Linked DNA regions of Saccharomyces cerevisiae S288C. Each later gene encodes a partner of the first gene's protein in a complex. Each region holds a gene or a part of one and is shown on either strand. Other genes may lie near its edges. A codon is read from its position in the direction of its gene.

Region 1 (4,448 bases):
CAAATTATACTAACTATCGGATAGCTTTATTTGTTTCAATGCATATAATCGACCTTTTTAAGCCAGAGTTAACTTTAAACCTTTCAGAATGAATTGGTAGATGTTCGGAGTTTATTTTGTCGTCCAAATAAGCTTCAAATTCAGTGATGCTACCACCGACTCCAAAATAAATATCCTTTGCGGCTACGTAAGTTTTGACATCGGTTTGTGGTAAATTGTGTATGTCAAGTATTGTTTCCGCTATAACGGGCAAATTGTCAGGTTGATAAATTGTTTCTGAGGATAATGAAAGGACTTTTTGGCTACCTGAGAGTACTTCATGGATCAAATTACTAAATTTACGTCCCCACGATCCTGATATAAGAGTGACGCTGATATTCCTGCTTTGTACATCGTCGTAAAAGGCAGCTAACAGCTTTGAGGTAAGAAGCAGTTCCTCATTATTTATTGGAATATCTTCACATTCGTCTTTCTGTAAGGCGTACCATTGTTCCTTTGTCAAAACCGTTTTAGCCCATGTTATAACCAAATTCGGTATGGTAACTAATCTTAATACACTGGCATTATAGTCAGTCAAAACAAACTTTAAACCTTTACTTCTATCATTCCGTAGAAGAGCAGATCTGAAAAGAAACTCTGAGGGTAGTGCCGTACCACAGCCTATTTCGACAACCGCGTCGATATCGTTGCTTATTCTATCAACGTTCTCTGACAACAAATCAACTAAATCATAAGAGCACTCCCATGATTTCAACCCACCTTCATAGATGTTCTTTCTCAAATCTTCAGAAGTATCACCTAGTAAAATGTCCAGTTCCGTGGAGTTGTTGTTGGATTGGGCATCTGTCTCTAACATTAGCTGATGTTTGACATCGAATAGTTCCCTCTTGATCAATGGTTTTCTATATATCGGAGATTGGAACTCTTCAAATGTCAATCTAACATCCTTAAGACTTTCCAATATTGTTCCTAGGTCTTCCACATTTGGCTGCACAACTCCAGCTTGCGACAAGAAATCCGAATCTAATGGATTGATGTAAGCAGTGGTATTTTCGTTTTCTTTGCTGCTTTCAACGAATGTTTCAGGTTGAGCAACAAGCTCATCATCATCAAAGTCATTGGAAGTAAAGCCGAAGGAAAATGACATATTTTAGCTACACAACACTTCGGTTCTGATTGTCCTTTTCCTCCCCATAGAATCGATGACTTGAACATTTTTATTTTTTAGATTGGACTTTTTTTTTTTCCAATTTTCCATGATTATTTTTTTTCTTCTTCGAAGTAACAATGAATGATATTTGCAGAAGAAGGTACAAGGAACTAAGTAATCAACCTACTGAACTAAGACCAAATGCGTATATATGAAAACAATCTACTTATACCCCAAACACGGAATATACGAAACAATTTTATTTTCCTCGTCTACTTATTTAGATTGAACTTGAGAATAACCTCCCCAAGGATTGGCATTTTTTGACTTCAGATACTCGTCTGATTTCAACTGCCATTCCCTGTTCATAGTCTTTGGAGTTTCAGGATTGGCTAATAGTCTCACTAAACCAAAGAGCCCAAATGAGATTCCTAACCCTAAAAATACTCCTTTAGTTATAAATGCAACATCGCCTTTTCCGTGTACAGGTCTTCTAGGTCCCCACTCGCCGTAGGATATGTACCAAGCTGCTTTGATTTCCTCGTTATTGAGAGTTTTCCATGGAAGCTTTTGACGTTCTGTCAAATTATCTGCAATCTCTTTCTGTTCTAAGTTTGGCATATTTTCCCATCTTTCGGGCAGATCTGTCAATGTTGCCTTCGAAAGGGCCTTTGTTTGAACAAATCTTGTCCCAGTTAGCCGTGCCCCTTTAGTAAGAGAAGTACGCAACACTGCAAAACTTGTGCTTGTACACCTCGAATGTTAGTAAATGGATATCTTTTAAAACTCAAAACAAAAATCAGTGTTTGTTATACATGCTCTTTACAATGAATATGTGGCGTTATTCCATTGTGAAAGTTTCCTGCAAAGAATATTAAATTGAAATAATTGGTCTATTGTTTAATGCAACAGTCATTTATAAAATATAAATCAAATGAAATTCGTCTTTTTTCGTCTTTTGCACGGTATTTTCTGAACCCCTCAGTAATTTTAAGGGGTCCATGACATTTTTTCGAGTACTCGTTCGTTGCCTTATCGAACAATACAAAATCAAAAAAAGAAATTGGTGAGTGTCATGCCGATATAATAATGACAAAACAGTACGATTATATGGAATTATGTTAACATGAATAGTATTTAATGAATCGAAAATGCAACTATGTATGAGCATATGCCAACGGACCGATGAATTGTTTTACCAAAATGGTTCTTTGGATGTCTGCTGGAGGACGGAGGATATGCTCATACGGTGTTGAAATTTAACCGGTAACTCTCGAGGTATTTTTAGAGAACGCTGTTTGCGCGTCGGCTGCTGCGCTTTGTTCAGCTTATCGTTTCTCCATCGTGCAAATTCGTTTATTGATATTTGAATCATATTTCCTTCAATTTCTTTTCTTTTTGCGTGGTTTTCAATAACAACGTTATCCCATTTAATCCACGCCATGGGCAAACTAACAAATTTTTTGTACTCCAAAAGCTCATACCCAATCTTTGTGTCCAAATCAACCCCATCAAAGTTTACAACATATCTTTTATTTTCCATGTTGTTCTTTTTATCATCATAACTACCTCCATACAGGAAAATGAATTTCAACATATTCCACAATGGAGTCAGGTGCGAGGGATCGACGGGAATCTTCTCAGAAGTTGGTTGGTTGTCCTTTGAGAGCAAGTCGATATCCTTCAACAATATCATTACTTGCAAGTCGAGCACAAATTTATCGTTTTTTTCGTCTACAAAATAATATAGCGGCAAAAATCTTTTGTAATCAAGTTTATCGTTGAAGTTAATAATCTTCAGTCCTAACGGATATAAGTCCCTTACTGCCCTTCTATAAGAGATTTCTTCCATTTCTTTTTCCCTTTCCATTTTTCTTGCTTTCTCTAAAGTAGCTTTTTCCAATCTTTCCATTTCTAAGACTTTCTGCTTCTCCTGTTCTTCGATCCTTTTTTTCTCATCTTCGGCCAGCTTTTGTAGTAGTTCCTGTTCTTTTTTTCTTTTCTTTTCTAATCTTTTCTTTCTGTATTCTTCCTCTTCCTTGAGTCTTGCTTCTCTTTCAGCAGCCGTTTCTTCATGTATTTTACTTATCTCTACAGATTTTGCCTTCTTTGGAGAATGAGGTTCCATAGAGAGTGGTGAGATACTTTTTAATTTTTCTTCATCTTGCAAGGCATTTGTTTTACGTTTTTTCCAGTCCAATGAGTATTGAGTACCAACATTTTCATTGTCATCCAATCTCTTGCGCGAATCCGAAGTTGTAGATTCCTTGACATCACGATCGTTATTAAAGTCATCGTCTGCCAGATTGAGCATCCTCGTATCGTCCTCTTCGTCTTCAATTCTAGGAGTGGCACTTCTTCGGCTTGCTAATATGGGTGATTGCGTTTTCTCTCTCTTTTTTTCATGTTTATATGTTTCATTATTATTATCATCATCATCATCATCATCATTATTATCTTCAGAGTGCTTCTTCAAATAGTTATTTATAGCATTTTCAATCAATTGAATTTCTTCACTGTTTGTTATTCCCATTATGCTGTTTTTGGCATAGTACAAAGCGGTACGACCCTTTTTATCTCTTTTGGTTGGATCTGCACCTGCCTCTAATAGCAGTTTAACAGTTCCAAGATGGCCACGACCTACAGCTACCATTAAAGCGGATGTTTTATTATCCCTTGAAGTTTGATTTACGGGAAATCCGAATGCCAAAAAGATACTTGTAATATCTTCATGGCCACACTTAACGCTTTCGAAAAATGACCTTAAGTCTATCTTACCACCATTTTCTACATACGTACCAACGTATGGTAAATGTCCCTCCTTCGAAGCTTTAAACAGTTTTTCTTTTCCCGCTCTAGAAGTAACATCTGTCCAATAGAATTCCTCTTCCGGAGCTTTCTCATCAATATTGGAAGCCATTGAAGGTGAGTCAGCGGCCTTTTCGTTTTTGGCTTTTGTGGTATTATCAAAAGGTGGCTGATCTATTGTGTGAGCATTATTGCCATTTTTAGATTTGTCATTATGAATTCCTGCTCTGTTAGTCCATTTTTTAGCGGCTATACTCAACCTTTTTTTTATTTCACGCAAAATCTTTTGGTCTTCTTCATCATCAAATTCAGATTCATCATCGACAGATTCAAACGCAGTTAACCCTTTAGCGTTACGTATAGTTGGGTCCGCACCGTTTTTAAGAAGATACTTGACAACATCCAAGTGTCCATTGGCGGAAGCATCGATCAAGGGAGTATCGCCGAACATTTCAATAGACTTGATATTTACATCTGCACCATTTTCTAT
Region 2 (5,568 bases), on another chromosome or scaffold:
ATTATAAATATATATTTATTTTTTTTTATAAAATAAATAAATAAATAAATAATTAATATTTTTATATTATAACTTATTTTTATAATAATAATAAGTATTTTATTTTTTATTATATTATTATTTATATAATTATATATATATTAATTTCAATTTAATTAATTAATTAATTGGTATTTGGCATATAATATCAATTAATTGTAATTCTTATAAGAATTAATTAATTAATATGCTTTTTATATAATTTATACTTTTATATTTCTCCTTCCGGGGTTCCGGCTCCCGTGGCCGGGCCCCGGAACTATTATTATTATTTTTATTTATTTATTATTAAAATATAATAATAAATAGTCCGGCCCGCCCCGCGGGGCGGACGCCGGAGGAGAATTATATTTTTATATAATAATTTATATTTCTATATATATATATATATATTATATATAAATATTATTATATATATTTTTATATATATTATAATTATATTCATTAATATTTTATTATAGTGGTGGGGTCCCAATTATTATTTTCAATAATAATTTATCATGGGACCCGGATATCTTCTTGTTTTTATTTATTATTTTATTAAATTTATTTTAATTATTTATTTATAATTTATATTATACAATTTATTATTTCGTTAATACCTTTATTTATATTATATAATATATTATATTATTATAATATATTTATTGATTATATTAATACATTTAACTAATGTGTGCTCTATATTTATTGAATAGTTTGGTTCTTATCACCCACCCCCTCCCCCTATTACGTCTCCGAGGTCCCGGTTTCGTAAGAAACCGGGACTTATATATTTAATACTAAAAATATAACTACATTACTTTTTTAATATATATAACAATATATATATATATATATATTAATTATATAAAATATAATACTCTATATTAAATATTATTTTTATCAATATTTATTTATATATATAATAATAATAATAATAATCAATATTAATTATTTATATATATAAGATTAATATTATTTAATATATTATGAATAATTTAATTAATAAATCTTTAAATATTATCATAAAAATATAAATTAAATAATTTCTTATTTATAATAAAGAATAATAATATATATAAATATAATAAAGAATGTAAATAATATATATATAATATAATATAATATAAAAAATATATATATATATAAATATATATATAATATATAGATAATAATATTTTTATATAATTTATTTTATTATTAAGTAATAAATAATAAAAAAATCAATATATTAAATAATATATTTATATTAGTTCGGTTTAGTTGGTATTTTGTAATGAGTAAAAAGTAATATATAATATTAAATAATAAGTATTGATATAAGTAATAGATATAATAATAATATTATTAATATTTTATATAAATAATATTAATAATATAGATTATGAAAGAGAGTATTAATATCATTAAATATATATATATGTTATATAATTTAAATGATTTTAATATATATATATATATTATATTATAGATTATGATACATTTATATAAATAATATATATATAAAAATTAATTATACTATTACTTTATAATATAATAATATTTATTTATAAAGATATAAAAGAATTGTTTAAAGTTATAACTAAAATATTATATAGTATTCATTAATAATTAATATTATAAATTCAACTATTGTTATATTTATAAATAGAATAATATATTATTATCCTTTAAGATATAACAATAATTATTTAAATTAAATTAAATTAAATTTAATTAATTTTTTTTTTTAATGAATATAATAATAATAATATTATTAAAATTAATATATAAAAAAAAAGTAAAAATGGTACAAAGATGATTATATTCAACAAATGCAAAAGATATTGCAGTATTATATTTTATGTTAGCTATTTTTAGTGGTATGGCAGGAACAGCAATGTCTTTAATCATTAGATTAGAATTAGCTGCACCTGGTTCACAATATTTACATGGTAATTCACAATTATTTAATGGTGCGCCTCTCAGTGCGTATATTTCGTTGATGCGTCTAGCATTAGTATTATGAATCATCAATAGATACTTAAAACATATGACTAACTCAGTAGGGGCTAACTTTACGGGGACAATAGCATGTCATAAAACACCTATGATTAGTGTAGGTGGAGTTAAGTGTTACATGGTTAGGTTAACGAACTTCTTACAAGTCTTTATCAGGATTACAATTTCCTCTTATCATTTGGATATAGTAAAACAAGTTTGATTATTTTACGTTGAGGTAATCAGATTATGATTCATTGTTTTAGATAGCACAGGCAGTGTGAAAAAGATGAAGGACCTAAATAACACAAAAGGAAATACGAAAAGTGAGGGATCAACTGAAAGAGGAAACTCTGGAGTTGACAGAGGTATAGTAGTACCGAATACTCAAATAAAAATGAGATTTTTAAATCAAGTTAGATACTATTCAGTAAATAATAATTTAAAAATAGGGAAGGATACCAATATTGAGTTATCAAAAGATACAAGTACTTCGGACTTGTTAGAATTTGAGAAATTAGTAATAGATAATATAAATGAGGAAAATATAAATAATAATTTATTAAGTATTATAAAAAACGTAGATATATTAATATTAGCATATAATAGAATTAAGAGTAAACCTGGTAATATAACTCCAGGTACAACATTAGAAACATTAGATGGTATAAATATAATATATTTAAATAAATTATCAAATGAATTAGGAACAGGTAAATTCAAATTTAAACCCATGAGAATAGTTAATATTCCTAAACCTAAAGGTGGTATAAGACCTTTAAGTGTAGGTAATCCAAGAGATAAAATTGTACAAGAAGTTATAAGAATAATTTTAGATACAATTTTTGATAAAAAGATATCAACACATTCACATGGTTTTAGAAAGAATATAAGTTGTCAAACAGCAATTTGAGAAGTTAGAAATATATTTGGTGGAAGTAATTGATTTATTGAAGTAGACTTAAAAAAATGTTTTGATACAATTTCTCATGATTTAATTATTAAAGAATTAAAAAGATATATTTCAGATAAAGGTTTTATTGATTTAGTATATAAATTATTAAGAGCTGGTTATATTGATGAGAAAGGAACTTATCATAAACCTATATTAGGTTTACCTCAAGGATCATTAATTAGTCCTATCTTATGTAATATTGTAATAACATTGGTAGATAATTGATTAGAAGATTATATTAATTTATATAATAAAGGTAAAGTTAAAAAACAACATCCTACATATAAAAAATTATCAAGAATAATTGCAAAAGCTAAAATATTTTCGACAAGATTAAAATTACATAAAGAAAGAGCTAAAGGCCCACTATTTATTTATAATGATCCTAATTTCAAGAGAATAAAATACGTTAGATATGCAGATGATATTTTAATTGGGGTATTAGGTTCAAAAAATGATTGTAAAATAATCAAAAGAGATTTAAACAATTTTTTAAATTCATTAGGTTTAACTATAAATGAAGAAAAAACTTTAATTACTTGTGCAACTGAACTACCAGCAAGATTTTTAGGTTATAATATTTCAATTACACCTTTAAAAAGAATACCTACAGTTACTAAACTAATTAGAGGTAAACTTATTAGAAGTAGAAATACAACTAGACCTATTATTAATGCACCAATTAGAGATATTATCAATAAATTAGCTACTAATGGATATTGTAAGCATAATAAAAATGGTAGAATAGGAGTGCCTACAAGAGTAGGTAGATGACTATATGAAGAACCTAGAACAATTATTAATAATTATAAAGCGTTAGGTAGAGGTATCTTAAATTATTATAAATTAGCTACTAATTATAAAAGATTAAGAGAAAGAATCTATTACGTATTATATTATTCATGTGTATTAACTTTAGCTAGTAAATATAGATTAAAAACAATAAGTAAAACTATTAAAAAATTTGGTTATAATTTAAATATTATTGAAAATGATAAATTAATTGCCAATTTTCCAAGAAATACTTTTGATAATATCAAAAAAATTGAAAATCATGGTATATTTATATATATATCAGAAGCTAAAGTAACTGATCCTTTTGAATATATCGATTCAATTAAATATATATTACCTACAGCTAAAGCTAATTTTAATAAACCTTGTAGTATTTGTAATTCAACTATTGATGTAGAAATACATCATGTTAAACAATTACATAGAGGTATATTAAAAGCACTTAAAGATTATATTCTAGGTAGAATAATTACCATAAACAGAAAACAAATTCCATTATGTAAACAATGTCATATTAAAACACATAAAAATAAATTTAAAAATATAGGACCTGGTATATAAAATCTATTATTAATGATACTCAATATGGAAAGCCGTATGATGGGAAACTATCACGTACGGTTTGGGAAAGGCTCTTTAACACGTGGCAACATAGGTTAATTTGCTATTTCATTTTTAGTAGTTGGTCATGCTGTATTAATGATTTTCTGTGCGCCGTTTCGCTTAATTTATCACTGTATTGAAGTGTTAATTGATAAACATATCTCTGTTTATTCAATTAATGAAAACTTTACCGTATCATTTTGGTTCTGATTATTAGTAGTAACATACATAGTATTTAGATACGTAAACCATATGGCTTACCCAGTTGGGGCCAACTCAACGGGGACAATAGCATGCCATAAAAGCGCTGGAGTAAAACAGCCAGCGCAAGGTAAGAACTGTCCGATGGCTAGGTTAACGAATTCCTGTAAAGAATGTTTAGGGTTCTCATTAACTCCTTCCCACTTGGGGATTGTGATTCATGCTTATGTATTGGAAGAAGAGGTACACGAGTTAACCAAAAATGAATCATTAGCTTTAAGTAAAAGTTGACATTTGGAGGGCTGTACGAGTTCAAATGGAAAATTAAGAAATACGGGATTGTCCGAAAGGGGAAACCCTGGGGATAACGGAGTCTTCATAGTACCCAAATTTAATTTAAATAAAGTGAGATACTTTAGTACTTTATCTAAATTAAATGCAAGGAAGGAAGACAGTTTAGCGTATTTAACAAAGATTAATACTACGGATTTTTCCGAGTTAAATAAATTAATAGAAAATAATCATAATAAACTTGAAACCATTAATACTAGAATTTTAAAATTAATGTCAGATATTAGAATGTTATTAATTGCTTATAATAAAATTAAAAGTAAGAAAGGTAATATATCTAAAGGTTCTAATAATATTACCTTAGATGGGATTAATATTTCATATTTAAATAAATTATCTAAAGATATTAACACTAATATGTTTAAATTTTCTCCGGTTAGAAGAGTTGAAATTCCTAAAACATCTGGAGGATTTAGACCTTTAAGTGTTGGAAATCCTAGAGAAAAAATTGTACAAGAAAGTATGAGAATAATATTAGAAATTATCTATAATAATAGTTTCTCTTATTATTCTCATGGATTTAGACCTAACTTATCTTGTTTAACAGCTATTATTCAATGTAAAAATTATATGCAATACTGTAATTGATTTATTAAAGTAGATTTAAATAAATGCTTTGATACAATTCCACATAATATGTTAATTAATGTATTAAATGAGAG

The links.
Region 2: the proteins of COX5B (region 1) and COX1 are in contact, whole or in part, in a cryo-EM structure (PDB 6T0B), measured with the Saccharomyces cerevisiae proteins. Residues at the interface, in NP_012155.1 of Saccharomyces cerevisiae: Ile72 (codon at 1,669), Ser73 (codon at 1,666), Tyr74 (codon at 1,663), Gly75 (codon at 1,660), Trp77 (codon at 1,654), Pro79 (codon at 1,648), Arg80 (codon at 1,645), Arg81 (codon at 1,642), Val83 (codon at 1,636), His84 (codon at 1,633), Asp88 (codon at 1,621), Phe91 (codon at 1,612), Ile92 (codon at 1,609), Gly95 (codon at 1,600), Val96 (codon at 1,597), Gly99 (codon at 1,588), Leu100 (codon at 1,585), Ile102 (codon at 1,579), Ser103 (codon at 1,576), Phe104 (codon at 1,573), Leu106 (codon at 1,567), Phe107 (codon at 1,564), Val110 (codon at 1,555), Arg111 (codon at 1,552), Leu113 (codon at 1,546), Ala114 (codon at 1,543), Asn115 (codon at 1,540), Pro119 (codon at 1,528), Thr121 (codon at 1,522), Met122 (codon at 1,519); in NP_009305.1 of Saccharomyces cerevisiae: Leu38 (codon at 1,919), Ala41 (codon at 1,928), Ala42 (codon at 1,931), Pro43 (codon at 1,934), Gly44 (codon at 1,937), Ser45 (codon at 1,940), Gln46 (codon at 1,943), Tyr47 (codon at 1,946), Arg333, Leu334, Ala335, Glu407, Lys408, Gln411, Ile412, Trp415, Leu416, Ile419, Asp445, Ala446, Ala448, Gly449, Tyr452, Ser455, Ile456, Phe459, Ile460, Leu463, Asn486, Val489.

What each region holds. Positions count from the first base shown.
Region 1 is NC_001141.2:152,744-157,191, reverse strand, and holds COX5B (cytochrome c oxidase subunit Vb), read right to left. Parts: upstream 1,971-4,448; coding exon 1,970-1,970; intron 1,882-1,969; coding exon 1,427-1,881; downstream 1-1,426. Other genes in the region: HPM1 (protein-histidine N-methyltransferase), read right to left, coding at 14-1,147; HOS4 (Hos4p), read right to left, coding at 2,346-4,448. UniProt on the Saccharomyces cerevisiae protein: Component of the cytochrome c oxidase, the last enzyme in the mitochondrial electron transport chain which drives oxidative phosphorylation.
Region 2 is NC_001224.1:12,011-17,578, forward strand, and holds the start of COX1 (cytochrome c oxidase subunit 1), read left to right. Parts: upstream 1-1,807; coding exon 1,808-1,976; coding exon of another isoform or gene 1,977-4,312; intron 4,313-4,424; coding exon 4,425-4,460; coding exon of another isoform or gene 4,461-5,568. Other genes in the region: intron-encoded reverse transcriptase aI2, read left to right, coding at 1,808-1,976, 4,425-5,568; AI5_ALPHA (intron-encoded DNA endonuclease aI5 alpha), read left to right, coding at 1,808-1,976, 4,425-4,460; intron-encoded DNA endonuclease aI4, read left to right, coding at 1,808-1,976, 4,425-4,460; intron-encoded DNA endonuclease aI3, read left to right, coding at 1,808-1,976, 4,425-4,460; intron-encoded reverse transcriptase aI1, read left to right, coding at 1,808-4,312. UniProt on the Saccharomyces cerevisiae protein: Component of the cytochrome c oxidase, the last enzyme in the mitochondrial electron transport chain which drives oxidative phosphorylation.